Linked DNA regions of Bombyx mori. The protein of the gene in region 3 interacts with the protein of the main gene of each other region in a pairwise test. Links are inferred from orthologs where the notes say so. Each region holds a gene or a part of one and is shown on either strand. Other genes may lie near its edges.

What was found.
Region 1: the proteins of cyclin-C (region 3) and cyclin dependent kinase 5 interact in binary tests that used the Drosophila melanogaster proteins (3 or more experiments, as listed by UniProt). The link is inferred for Bombyx mori from reciprocal best matches to the Drosophila melanogaster genes CycC and Cdk5.
Region 2: the proteins of cyclin-C (region 3) and cyclin-dependent kinase 14 interact in a two-hybrid assay, tested with the Drosophila melanogaster proteins (2 studies listed by BioGRID). The link is inferred for Bombyx mori from reciprocal best matches to the Drosophila melanogaster genes CycC and Eip63E.
Region 4: the proteins of cyclin-C (region 3) and Cdc2 interact in binary tests that used the Drosophila melanogaster proteins (3 or more experiments, as listed by UniProt). The link is inferred for Bombyx mori from reciprocal best matches to the Drosophila melanogaster genes CycC and Cdk1.

The regions. Positions count from the first base shown.
Region 1 is NC_085125.1:9,569,010-9,573,213, forward strand, and holds cyclin dependent kinase 5, read right to left. Parts: upstream 2,884-4,204; 5' UTR 2,874-2,883; coding exon 2,216-2,873; intron 805-2,215; coding exon 566-804; 3' UTR 522-565; downstream 1-521. UniProt on the Drosophila melanogaster protein: Probably involved in the control of the cell cycle. Interacts with D1 and D3-type G1 cyclins. Possible regulator of neuronal differentiation and/or development.
Region 2 is NC_085117.1:9,232,750-9,236,500, forward strand, and holds part of cyclin-dependent kinase 14, read right to left. Parts: intron 911-3,751; coding exon 708-910; intron 1-707.
Region 3 is NC_085121.1:11,205,165-11,209,517, reverse strand, and holds the start of cyclin-C, read right to left. Parts: upstream 2,805-4,353; 5' UTR 1,517-2,804; coding exon 926-1,516; intron 845-925; coding exon 752-844; intron 646-751; coding exon 523-645; 3' UTR 1-522. UniProt on the Drosophila melanogaster protein: Component of the Mediator complex, a coactivator involved in regulated gene transcription of nearly all RNA polymerase II-dependent genes.
Region 4 is NC_085122.1:10,044,241-10,047,040, forward strand, and holds the end of Cdc2 (cell division cycle 2), read right to left. Parts: intron 2,730-2,800; coding exon 2,627-2,729; intron 1,957-2,626; coding exon 1,753-1,956; 3' UTR 749-1,752; downstream 1-748. UniProt on the Drosophila melanogaster protein: Plays a key role in the control of the eukaryotic cell cycle. Required for entry into S-phase and mitosis.

The DNA.
Region 1 (4,204 bases), on a different chromosome or scaffold from region 3:
TAACTTAAATGCACTTTGAGTGGAGTCAGTTGCTAATAATGTGAATGCACATTTACAATTTTGTAAAGTGAGTTTTTTAAATATGTAGTCAGCTATCTGACTCTACATTTTCATTGCTAAATATAAATAAGTTTCATTTTAACAATCAATTTTGTTTTGTTTCAAAGTGCATTTATGTTTTACGCATCAATATTATACTTAATATTTATATGTTTTTACTTTTTAATTCATCATTTCATCTTTCATATTACACATTATTAAAGTCCATTTGTAAACCATTTGTTCATAAAGTTAACTTCATTTTAATTTAGGACATTTCAGTAATAATTATAAAATCGATTAAAAATATCACTAGTAGCCAAATACTGGAACCTTATCAATATAATTTGAAACATAACAATTCCCAATATTATGGTATTTAAAATTACTTGGTAAAAATACAGTATTTGGCAGTACTTTTCTTAAAATCTAATTAAGTCTCATCCTCACAACACTCTTCTATTTCATCATAGTTCTTTTCACAATAAATAAGTTCTGACGTACATTTGTACGGATGGATTGATTGTTAACATCGATCATTCTTGACTGACGGATTGAGATCGTGGAAATACGCATGCGCCATTGCATCATCAGCTGGCATTCTTAAAGCTGGATTGCAGGTGAGCAGCCGAGCGAGTAGATCTCGACCTCTAGCCGGCAATCTTGGTACAACTTGGGCGAGGCCTAAACTTGGCTGATAAACAGGCAAAGGTTTGTAGTCCGGCAGTTGAGTTACTCCAGGCCATGTGTCCTCATTGGGTGTACCTGATAAGTAAACATAGTTTGATTGAAAAAGGATAACTGACAGATTAATACACCCATACAATACCAGTGACACACTTCCTATTTGTATGTCAATGAATAAGTCTTTGCAAATGGCACAATATTTACAATGCAAGAGCTTTGATGTAATTTTCCTAGACAAATCTATATATTTTTACTAAAAATATGTAAAAGTTAACTATTATTTTGTAACACTTCAGTACACTCTGTAGGCATTTTTATAAATACTATGTTTACCGTAAGTTTCTGAAATGCAGAAGAAGAAATCTTATGATGGCAGAAAATTATATTCATTTGCTAATTAAAGTATTTATGATATATATATAGAAGGGGTCTGCAATATGACTCAGCAAAAAAATTAAATAACAACACAAAATTTGAAACATGAGTCGACTATTATCAAAGGCGGCAATCTGACTTTTTGACAATGATTGGTAAATCAGAAAAACGAATTATTGACTTTGTATTCCATTGGCAGTCACAAAACTCTTCGGAACGACATCTTAGATAAATAACAGGTTAACTATTAACCTTTATTTAATGCAGGTTTTGAACCGTATTCTTTGAAGGAGACGATTATATTCAAATAAATCTGTATTGACATATCAATAAAAAAAATTTGTCCAAATGTACAGATTGCCACCTTTGATAATAGACGACTCACATGTTCAAACTTTAATGGTATAATATGTATTTTTTAGTTTAATATGGTACATGATGTCATGATTGACTATTTTAGTAAAAAAAATGATTTATTATTTAAATGCCGAAGTGTTCATCAATTACAATAAGTTATAGGAAAGGAAACACTATTCCTACTTAATGACATTGTTCGACCGTGAGTGTTGGGATTAACATTCTTATATTATTTTGTACTTGGAGGACTAGGCTAACAACTTTTGTCAGGCCGGTAATCTTTATGCCAACCCATAGATTGTTTCTAACTTTTTTATGCAGAATCTGCAATCTAATAGGGGGTTGACTAGAAAATAGTATGTGTGGAATTATCAGACAGCTGTTTACTAAGCCCCCAACAGAATAAAGTAGCAATGGTGATATGGTATATTGTAAGCCTACTCTCTAGTTTGTTGGGAGAGTTAAAATTCAATAAATTTATTTTACATATTGTTATAATCTGTCCGATCCTTTAAATAAGGCATCAATCAGACATAATCATAGTTCTTACTTTTGCATAATTATATGCAGTTAATGTTGGTATTAAGCTCAGAGACTCGGCCATTCAAATTTAATTTAAGATCTAAACCAGTTTTGTGATATGACTTTTTATTGTCACCAAGAGCCCTTATGTGGTTTTCAATATAAAATCATAATTAGGCTTCCTAAATTCAGAATAGAGTAATAAAACTTTGGAGATTTATTATGATGAACTCACCTAAAAGCTTAAAAATCCTCTTTAATTGATCATCAACATCTGAACCTGGGAATAGCGGTCTGCCCGAATTTGCAAGTTCTGCAAATATACATCCAGCAGACCACATATCAATGCTTGTTGTGTACAACTTAGCACCAAATAATACATCAGGAGGCCGGTACCATAAGGTTACAACTTCAGCGGAATAGCACTTTACTGGTATGCCAAAAGCTCTGGCCAGACCAAAATCAGCTAACTTTAATTCACCGTTCTTGTTTATTAAGAGATTCTGTGGCTTCAAGTCCCTATGGAGAACGTTGTGGCTGTGACAAAAAGCTAGTCCTCGAAGTAATTGATACATGAATGATTTCACAACATCTAGATCTATTTCTCCATTCAAACTATCGAAGTATTTTTTTAAGTCTTGATCACAATGTTCAAACACTAGGGTTAATTTCTTTTCGCTGTGCAATACATCGTAAAGTCGCACTATATTTTTATGCTTTAATTCTTTGAGAAGACATATTTCACGAAGAGCGGAAGATGGTACTCCTTCATCGTCGTCGTCTAATCTAACACGTTTGAGCGCTACGATTTCGTGTGTTTCTTTATTCTTGGCTTTAAATACCGTACCATAGGTTCCTTCACCGATTTTTTCAAGTTTCTCATATTTTTGCATATTTTTGAACTACAGATTTACTCACTTTAGTTCGATCGATTGTTTTTAATTTAGACTGACTTATATTAAGTGTATAATCTATGGACTGACTGATTTTTGAGTAGTTGTTCTATTTTTCCAACCGGACAGGCACAGGTATCTTACTATACAGCCTACGCTTTTGATATATATTTTTTGAATAATGATAATATGAAGTGAAATTAAATGAATTTGATTAATTTGGAACGTTAATCACTTGACATGAAATGAAATTAAATGAGATGAGATAGTATGGGGTGAAATATAATCTCAGTAAAAAGTTGATTGTTTACTGAGACTTTTTTGTGGACTTTTTGGAAGATCCCGAGAAGCTACGTCCAGCGACTTTGTTTTATTTTCCCATATTTGTGTACTTTTACAGATACTAAACAGTTAATAAGCCACGATTAATCACACACTACCACATTTAAACCTGAAGAAACACTAAATATACAGAATAAAACAATTCACACAACTTCACTCCTCGCATTCCTGCTAAAAAGTCCTCTGTCTTATTAGTACATACTACATGTTGGAGTTTGAATATGAAAGTAATGGCCGGCAACAGTTGACACATGTAAGGTTACAGTTTCGAATATTGGAATTATTTTAAAAGTCTAAAATAAATAATTGTGTTCTCGTCAGTGAAGACAACGACTTCTCATCTAGACACGGTCAGAGCAACATCTAAGAGTTTTATAAAAAATAAAACATTGTAATAATGTTATAGTGTACAAAGTGTTTGCAATATAATTATATTAACCATGAAGCAGAGTGTTTTTAAATAGCCCCTCATCAACCTACAGAACCCAATCCCCTCAAATTTCACCGTCCAACACTACATACAACTATCTTATAAATCTACATATTATTATGCATGTGAAGGGCCGTCAAACATTCATTCGCAAACTTAGCAGCTGTGCAAATGGGTTCGGTAGTCAATTCGCGAACCCGTTTGCGCTTCCTCCTACACTTGTTTACGAATGTCTCACGAATTTCTCCTCCTTTTTAATTCGTCAATAGACATTGAAGAGAAAAAGAGTTTTGAATTCTTTCCCAGACATCATTAACAGCCATGCTGTTTTTATGGGATTTCTTTTGATGAAGATACGTTACACAGTAGACGTCACGAACTATGAAAATGACGATACGTCCGTTACCTTCGTAATCGTCGGCGCAACTGGGCAAACGAATGTGTGGGAGACTACGCGAAGGCTCGCGGTTCGCGCGCTTTGATGTCTGTTAAAAAACCGACACAGCTTGGAAAACCACGAATGTAGCGAAAACTTTGCATAATCATTTGCAAATGTCGT
Region 2 (3,751 bases), on a different chromosome or scaffold from region 3:
GGACGAAGTTGCGGGCTAAAGCTATTGAAGTATAATTTTGTTGACAGGAACTTTATACGGATTATTTCTAAGTTTCTTTATTATTATTTTTCTTTTCTGTTTTTCCTTTTTTTTTTTCTAATTTTGTTTTTGTTTTCAATTTCCAATTTTGTTTCTATGAACAAATAATATTGGCATTTTGTATTATATTTTCAGGTATGCCAATATCGGGACCATTTAGTTGATTAATAAAGAAAAAAGAAAAAATCTCCAATTGTGTTTGTTCAATATGAATTTTTGAATAAATCACAAAGAAACAATTCACAACGGAGTTTTAAACACTCCTCGAAGACTTTGTCAAGTGTTCTACTTTTTTATACTCCTTTTGTAATAATTTATTTTCAAATTACATGTTTGAATCAAAAGTTTAAGATAATTGGAAGAGGAATTCAAATAGGGATTACTGAATTAATGAATTACGTAATATAAGTGTCTATTAAGATTGAATGATTGGGATGCAGCAGAGGTACGTGCTTTGCTATATTGTAATTTGCGTAATTACTATACAATTGAGATAATAGACCTCAAGTCTCAAGGTCTGTGGTGGCATTCAGGTTATTATGTGTATGGACTCCGACTTGATACGTGGGTCGTGGGCTCGTTCATCCGTCTGCGCAATTAATAAATAAATATGTTGAAATCGTGATGGATGTAGGAATGCTACTAACCCCAAAGGCACTAAATCGCTTGGTGCGTCTACTGGACTGCTCGTGAGGCCCGAGGAACGCTTCACTCTTGGGTCTGGGAGGTCGCTTCGGCCTCATGACAACTCGCGCCTCCTCCCTCGCACCTTCGTCCAGGAGCTTCGAATCTGAAGAGACCGACAACTGTCTTCGGACACGGTATTCACCGTTGCCACCTTCGCTCCACTCTACAACAAAATATAAACGTGTCAAAACGGCATAACATTTGACCCATTACATAAGTCTTATTTCTTTTTAAAATAAATTCAAAACCTAAAACGTCAATCAACTAACAAGCAAACTCATGTGGTTCTTTTTTGCATAACAAATCCCCCTCAAGCGTAAACTCACTTGAAGAACGCTCACAGAGAAGCCACCCACCCTCGAAAACATTAAATAATATTCGTTTGCGTAAATAACTTGAGCAATATAATATTTTCTAATGTTTCCTTTATAAATTTTGTTTGAGAGGCAATTTAATGTTTTTTGACAATTTCCTCGGCTCCCCTTTTACATTTCATGCTCGAATTTAAACGTAGCAAATTTACATGGCTTCTACCTACTTATAGCATTCGCGATACGAACGTTGTTGCTTTGCAATGCAAACAACCACTGAGAGCTTCGCGATTGACAGAATGAGGATCCTCGTGGAATGTCTCCAGCAAGCACTTAGTGAGCAAATTAATGAACGAAATAATAAAAATGTTACTTTGGAACGACGCCGTTTGAAGAAATCGTTTTGAGCGGCATCGGTATTCCAATATTCGAGGAGCACTCGAGGAAGCGTGTTAGCGTTACAAAGGTTCGATATCGCGACGGGTAGGTACGTCAATGCGAACGCGAAACGAATAAATCATTCCCGAACAACAAATCCGTAGATGACGGAACAAATCGATCACGAACACAATTTATCTTTTAGATTAACGAGGAAATGGAAGAATTAACGGTGAATGTTAATCGATGACTGCCGTTTACTTAAAACTTGTTTGCATTTGATTCGGATGTCATATTCTCTTGTCAAATTGTAAATGATTATTTAGTTTTTACTGGTGGTAGGACCTCTTGTGAGTCCGCGCGGGTAGGTACCACCACCCTGCCTATTTCTGCCGTGAAGCAGTAATGCATTTGTAGCCGTTGTAACTATACTTGAGACCTTAGAACTTATATCTCAAGGGTGGCATGGTAAATGCACGTCGTAGATCTCTATGGGCTCCAGTAACCACTTAACACCAGGTGGGCTGTGAGCTCGTCCACCTATCTAAGCAATAAAAAAAAAGATCATTAAGTATGATCGGTCGGTACGGTCTATCTGTGTATACAGATGCCTTACTAAGAATAAGTAGGTCAGAGGGTGGTTACGGGTGTGTTGCTACTTCCCTCGTAAAGGGACTCTAAAAGACCACGGGGCGCCACACTAATTTTATTGCTTAAATTCCCATCCTCGCTTTTTTTTTTAATAATTCCGTACAAATATTGAATGCGACACAATCATTCAGTTACAAAATGCGAATTGGGTTAAACATGAATGTTTCATTAAAAGTTTGGATCGTTTGTTTGTTTCCTGTTCAAACGTATACAATATAACCTGTACCGAAATTTCAACAATTGCGCATGACATATGTGGTTAGTCGGCAACCTTACTTTTTGTTAAAAGGACTGTACAGTATACGTACTAATCCTTACTAGAAGTCCCGCAGTAGTCGAAATTCGACTATAATTAATTGGAATTGTAAGTTTGTACACTATTATGATTGTATTTTATACTTCTATAATCACAAATTTCGCCAAGACTACACTATAAAAAATATTAACAGAGACAAACCATATTCTATTCTCAATTTGACAACAGACGTCAAGAACAAAAGTTTGACAATAAATAGTATGCATGCGTGTGTGCGTCAAATACATGGTATGTAGTGTGTGTAATGTTTTCTTTATTGATTTAATGTATCTTTTAGTCATTATTTAAAAAAAATATTAGCATTGTGCACTTCTTCTCTATATTCTCCATAAGTGTGGAAAATTTCATACTCCTCCGTCCGCGCAATTTTCGTAAAAAGGGATACAAAGTTTTTGCTTCCCGTATTAATATATGGATAATATATGTAGATAATTTCAGTCCCGAGTATTCCAAATGTCATACAAGGTAACAGTTATAATGTATTAAGAATATATAAGCCACGTCAAGTAACCATTTTACCTTTATATCATGAATACTTAGGGGAGCAGTGTCGTGTACACAAAATGATCGCGTTTTATGATTACAGCCGTTTCATAGCCGCTGGATGCATTACATATTGGTGTATTAAATTTTCTGTCATTTTTCACGAAACGCGGGACATAAATGTTTTACTGTGTAGTAAATTTCCTTGTTATTATGACCGCGCCTTTGCATTACGAGAATGTATGTATGATTAATACTGACAAGTCGTCTTTCGTCCTGACGGGTGCTGTAATTGCCGTAAAAACGTAATTGTTCTATAGTCGGTTCGATTAATGAATGTTACACATTCACACATATTGTATCTGTCCCAAACTCTTTTTCTCTCAAAAAAAAAACTCATAAAAATTTAATGAAAAATGTTTAATTGCCATCAAAGGACACCAACATTCCAGGGGGCGATCCATGTCGCTACATACCGCAAAATGCTCTCCTGAAACTGAGGAGTATACGTCTCTTTCCACTTGCTAGAAGGATTATCGTTTTTCGTATAAACGTGCGGGTATATAATGGGCACTACGAAATGGAAAACTATGCTCTAGTTTTACCGATTTCAAATACAAGTCAGTCGCCACTTCTATTTCAATAAGTCTTATAGTTGTGTATTGGATTAGAGAACCCGACTGAATATCCAACTTGTTTTTTTTATATCATCAATTGATCAATAAGTGTAGGTTAAATTCATATTAATTGCTACTTTTCAAAATGCCTACCAGTATAGCGATGAGATTATTGAGCTTTTGAATAATTAAGGGTAATTAAATCTGTGCTATAGCGTTAGACGACAGGCTACATGACCGAATTAAGG
Region 3 (4,353 bases):
AATGTGAACAAATGCAACACAGTTAATGAATGAAGTATCAATGCTCAAAAACATGCAGACAGATAAGACTAAATTCATTAGAATTGCCTTTTTTCTTTAGCTTTTGTCATCTTACTTATCTTTGTCAGTTTACTTATATGAACAATGTTATTGGGCAGCATAGCAATACAATGACATTATTTAAACATTAAACTTGAAATAAAGGAATAATTTACTTTTGTGTCTAAAGGCTACAATAGGATACAATAGTCTTAAATCACATAACAACCAATAAAGAGAGTATCTTTGGCTTGTGATGGAAAATTAAATAACTTAGTTCTTGTTCTTTTAATTTATGCTCTAAAGTGTGCTCTACACTGTATTTGTTTATGGTTGAAAAAATTCATAAAAATCACTTGAAATATAAGTGACCTCATCAAAAATAGTAATTTCTTTTCCTAGGGAATTAAAAACAAATTTTTCATGTCTACAATTAAAAATTATATATCCATTATACAAATCCATACTACAAAATATGTCTTGCTATCTCTGGGGAGCTGGCTTTGGTTTGGGCATCTTGGACAATAGCCCTTGTATTTCTTTTTTTTCATCATAACTTTTCCACATCTCATAAAGGTTAATGATAGCTCTCACAATTTCTTGGATCTGTAAATTTGAATTTTTAAATGAGTAGTTTCAGAAGTTTTGTAATACAACCACACAATAACCATATTTTTTTTAATTTTAATATATATTCAAGTATATTTCTCACTTTATCCATGTCAACATTTAGCTCAGCAAACCAAGGTTTGAGATTGTCTTTACCAAGCATCACACATGCTATTTGTAAGGCACCAATTGCAATCTGTAATTCAAAATATAATGGCAATGAAAAGTTTTATGAATAAAAAATGAAATGTGACTATTTGCATTACATAAATCATACCTGATAGGGTGGGTACAACAAACTAACATCTGTTCTCAAGGAATCGTTTACTATTCTCCAAGCGTATGTCAGAAGTTGATCATCTTGTCCTATGTCTTGGACAAAAAGTAGTAATGGTCTATATGGTTGGTATACAATTAAACAACAATCTAAATTTTCTAGTAAATAAAATTCACACTCCAGAATGTGATTTGTCCTGTACGGGAACTCTTGTTGTCCATAAGCATAACTAAACTTATTTTTTATAACTGTCTGGCAGGTTGTTATTAATCTGGAATTGGATATAACACCAAATTCTTCAACTTTAGATGCAAGAAATACGCATGTTGGTGCCAAAAGAAGTGGATCAATACACTTCAAAGAGTTCCTTGCATAAAATCTTTTAAAGTAAACTGTTGCAGTTGCGATTACTTGCTGACGAAGTTTAAGTTGTTCGCCTAAAACTTGAATTATACTAGCAAAAAAATTAAATACTTTTTGGTATTCTTCTTCTGATAAAATATTCAAATCAAACTGGCGATCGCGCCTTAGCTCTTGCTTATCGAGTATCCATTGTTGATGATGTGAGCTTTGCCAAAAATTTCCAGCCATTTCTTCAAAGGCAAAACACAATAATTATTAAAATTTGGTAAATTTTGATTTATCAAAAAAACATACTTTTTTTACAAATTTAACATTTTTCCATCCATTCCTATTCTATGAAACTTTTGAAACTGTGTATTTTAGTAATATGTATGCATAACCAGGGGGGTGCAACTCCCATACAAAGGAAAAGAACATTCAACTAGCGTCATCTTTAGGAACCGGCGAGGTCATTTTTGAAACGTTTTGGCCTTAATGATCTAATAAACTCACTAGATGGCAGGTACGAGTTCTGACTCAATAAAAAAGGTTAGCGTACTTTGAAGCAGTGCTTCCACTTTTAGGGAATTCTCCCTTTTTTAGGGAAAAATAGCTGATATTTTGGATGATAAAGACAATTTAAAAAATACCAGGATTTAGGATAGTTCGGGGTAAAAAGCAAAGCCTATACTAGTAACTGTTGTGAATTTTAAAATAAACGATAATTAAAGTAAAACAATGAACATTTTATTTTATGGAGAGAGAATGACATTAAGTCGAGTTGACAAGTAAAAGAATAAAACAGAGTTGTGTATAAAAACTATAAAGAAGGTTTGATTCAACAGTAACCCTCTAGTAAAGTAAATTATAGATTAAGCCACTGCTTTTTTCTTAGGGATTCCCCAGAATCCCAATAAGTATAATCCGCCAAACTTTTATTTACCTATTTTCGTTGATGTCACCAGAACTTACTTGTATTGTAATATACAGGTACTTCATGTACCATGAAAGATTATCATGGTAATTTCATTTACGAAAACCTTGTAATTGTCATTTCACTTTTGCTAGCAGTTCCTTCTTCAAAGACTGAGGTGGAAAGATAATTCAGTGTTCTCAAATGTAAAAACTGACAAAAGAAACAGGCTTTCTAATGAAACCCTGAACGGCTTGCTTCATAGAAAGTTCCCAACTTTGCCAGCAAACAATTGCTCAATTTTAGAACCGAACAGTGTTAGGTTGCGTGCAGCAAAAGAATATAAAAGCAATGCGTCGACTTCCTTGAAAATTCTAATCCTATATATCTATGATCTTCTGGGGGCGTTTATATTATATATACCTACATTAAATAATATGCTGTGGTTTATTTTCTGTATTTTATTTATACTTTCTATATAAAGGATTTATGAAAGTTGTCTAGGAAATTTTAGGGATAAATTCAAAAGAAACTAGGGTAAAATGTGTTTAAAAAAACGTAAGTGGAAACACTGCTTTGAAGTTTTCAAAATTCCAGGGCCGTAAAACAATCTCAAAAAAAAAAAAAAACGTTTTCAAAATGTCGTAACGATTTAATTTTTTAAATCGTTTTTTTTTTGTCTTGGTGTGAGTTATTTTACGTTGTAGTATTAATTTAGAGCATCTTTTAGCTTTATGAGAATATTAGACGATTAGACATTGAGAAACTCTGTTTTGAATTCTCTTTAGACATAACTTGGTTCCAATACTTTTTTCTTCGTTAGCGTTTCGTAAGCCTGTGTAACTATTTTCGTTTCTTACAGAAAGTTTATTATTAAAAATCAGCATGCCTCGAAGATCGAAAATGAAATGCTATTTCGGATGCCTTGATAACGGTGAGTTTACACTATTTTCCCGGTATATTATTTGCTAACAGAATTATTATTCATAATATAATTAAATGAATTAGCACCAACTAATGGTCCTTCCTATTTCTGCTGCCTAGCTATCATATATGTTAAGTTTGATCAAAACAGTCGGTGTTAAGTCTCGTACTATCACACACACACCTCAGATAATAAAATTGTCTCGAGTGGGTGGAAGTATTTATGTTTTGCAACTCAGCGTATTATATGCTTATTGTCAAGTGGGCCCGAACTAGTTTTTTGGAATGGAATAAACAGGAAAGCATGACTGATTGATAGTCATGCTTTCCTGTTTAAATAAAATACAGCACAATTGATCTCACATCCAAAGTTAAATGATGGCATTCACATTTTGTTTCCTGGTGTTTGATAACCAAGTTACACCAAGTGGCCTGTGACCACGTTCATCCTTCTACCCAATATAAAATAATGTTTTTATTTTTGTAGACAAAGGTTTGATAATGACAAAATTTTATGGAAAAATTATAAGGAGCACTAAAATGTCTGAAACATGAAAAGATTGATGCACTATATTTGAACCAGAACGTGTTATGTAATATATTAATTTGTAAGTATGATTACATTAACACTAAATTTTTCATGGTCGTATTTTTTCAATATTTGTTACATACTTAAGATACTTTGTTTCTCCGTTTCAGAAGAGAAACTGATTCAGCAAGGAATGTGAACTCACAAGGGATCTTAATTTTTTTTAAATATGTTTATAATTTATAAATTAATAATTGAAATAGTTCATAAGAACTAAATTGATGCCAATTTTGTTTTAAAATAGGTTGTTTAGTTCTTATAGTTATACTATTACGTTTTGAATAGTTGTAATTAGTAAGTTAGTAATATATGAAAATACTGATATAAATTTTTGTAAATGAGCTTTTGTAAATTCTACGAGAAGATGATTTTAATTAATGATCAAAAGTCAACGATCTTCAAAAGCATTATTTGCAATTATTTAGATTAACTGTGGAATATATTTGCTAAGTTGTGTTTTCTGTATGAGCAGATATAAATGAAAATGCCCAAACATGATTATGTTTCTTACATTTTCATTATGTGAAATCAATATGCTTGTGACTGAGTATATTAATAATTTATTAAAACTTAAGTGATAGACAGCAACCCCTATGGCACTGCTGAAGTTTATAAGCACTGGTGACCACTTATCATGAGCCGGGTTGTGTGCTCGTCTGC
Region 4 (2,800 bases), on a different chromosome or scaffold from region 3:
AGTTATATTAAAATTATTATTATACTTTACAAATTAAGACAATGCTTAAAAATATTATCAATCAAATACACATTCCATTACATATAATTAAAAATAAAATTAACTTATGAGCGGTCCAGAGAAATTGGCAAAAACTTAAGAAAATAATATTACATTTGTTTCTTGTCAAAAGTTTATCAAAACGTCTTTTTTCATATTATTTATTAAAACACCCACACGTCAAACATGTAATATATATATATCAATTAAATAAATAATTATGCTTTACTATTAAAAACAAACTGTTTACAATTATTTTAGAAGAAAAAGAAACACGTTGTTGGTATTAGATATTAATTGAAGAGATTTAAAACAATTTCAATTTATAATTCTGTTATACTAAAGAAATATTTGCAGTACAACCTATTGATCTTATGTATTTATTTATTTAGATGACATAATAGTGTATGAAGAACATGAATTGGACAGATAATTAAGTTTAAATTAATTAAGTTTCCATGAAAATACATATAAAATACTTCTCATGTCACACGATGTTTCAACAGCATACAGAACAATATAGTTAAACTTATCTCCAAATGCATTACTAATAAATGTATGTAAAAACCGTTCAGAGTCCTATAGTTTGTTGAAAACAGTTTGATACGCCGGGAGTTTGCACAGCGAATAGTTTGAAAAATAATAATTTTCAAAAATGATTTTATTCGAATGGGACTTATAATCCTATAAATCACATTTGCCGCATATCAAACTATATTTAACAAACTATTATGATCATCACAAGCTCCAGAATATTTCTTTGAAGGCGTGAATGATAATACTGCAAGTTTTATATATTATTAAACAGGTATTTTAGTCGAAAGGAACCCTTATCCAAATCCAAAGTTAGTTTGTAATGATAATTAAACTATTGTGGTTAGTTTTTTATGCACTAAGTTTACTGCTTTAGCCTTTGGTGTCTGAGGTTATTAAGCATTTCAGCGTTCGTAAAAACTTATTAAACAGTTCAATGAAGACAACTATTTGGCAGTAATATTATTACAGAAGAAATAATTAAATACTATCCTATAACATAAGTCGAACATGACAAAACGACACAAAGATGTATACACGACACGATTAGACAACGAGAATTAATTTATTCAAGGTTAATTAACTATCAATAATTCTCAAATTAGTGTTAAGGTAATGAACGAAACCAACATTCAAAGTTAAAACTATGAAGGTTTGTACAACTTCGAACAAACTATGACACGTTTTTCTATAATAATCAAACAATAATTTTCTATGGTCACTATTTAAAACCTAGTGACTTGATTTAAAAATTAAGCTCTTCGCCGAAATAGCTTTAAAATAACTCACATCTATTCATTTATTCTCGACGGTTTAAAATCCCAACTTCACAGACACACAAATTCATTAAAAAGCCTTTACGTAAATTATTTAAGTTCAAAGCTTTAACTAAATTACGTCTCGCGTTTACTAGTCTTAGTTTTTCAATAATCTGAATTGACTAATTTAATTTTTAGATCAAATTCGATAAAATAAAGTACATTTAAATATTAAGGTTCTACTATAAGGAGATTGGATGCGAATTGTGGAGAATACAGTATAGAGAACATACCTCAAATCTCTCAAATTAAAATGCAATGATTGCGACAGAGGAGCCCAACTGAGTTGTACTTTGTATTCGTTCTGAAAATATATTTGTAGTCTTTATAAATGACACCTAGTTCTAATGATTCGTGTCTCCTATACACTTTGAACAGAATCCGTGTCGTATGGGTATTCTGGCGTCACTCTGATGTAAGCGTCGTGCACTGTCAGTCCGGGAGGTAGTTTCACGTCTCTAAAGTACTTGTGTCGTCGCGCGTCCTTCGCGGATATTCTTTTAACCGGATCGTAGACTAACATCTTTTGTAACAAATCCATGCCCACTTCGTCTAGGTTTTGTACCTGTAAAAAATGCACGTTACAATTGACGGTAGGAAGAAAAGATTTAACTCAGTCACGTCATTGATAATAACTAGTATAATATAATATAGCTTAAATGGTGTTGGGGAGTCTTGTAAGTCCGCACGAGCAGTAACGTATTCTGGTTTGAATGACGAGACAACTATTGTACTGTAAAACTGGGACTCAGAACTTATGTTCCAAGATGGGTGGCGGCATTTGTGTCGTTAATGACATGAATAAATGCTGTTTATTAGATTCCGTTACCGTTATTATAGGTGGGCCACATGCTCAATCACAAGTCTGAGCGATAAAGAAAGTGAAGAAAGATAGTTTTGATATGAGGTCGAAGTTTCAATATAAATCACATAAGAGCTGTCCCATCTTACAAACTGGAACGCATAAGTGCTTCACGACAGAAACAGGACATCAAAGTCCAGAATAAATATATTAAAAAAACATTATACAACACACACACACACACACACACAAAACTTTTAACAGCTGGTTCTGCTAAAATAAACTTTCACTAAAATCCCAAGGGAATATCTTGGCTAGCTGGAGTAGTGTCACTCATTATGTAATAGAATTCAATTAGTTTTTCATATATCTGGAAATATCTCAAGAACAATAGACATATAAAAATCTAAAATAAAATATGCTTCATACGTACATGATTGTGCAGATTGTACGTGTTCCAGTTCGGGAAGGTTGGCTTGTAGTCTGGTAGGAGAGAAACACCAGGCCATATCTCTTCTGTTGGCGTTCTTAGCATTCTGTTAATAAATTAAGAGATCTTGTGATTTAAATAGTTACTAATAAGAAAAAGTGTACTCCAGCAGATACC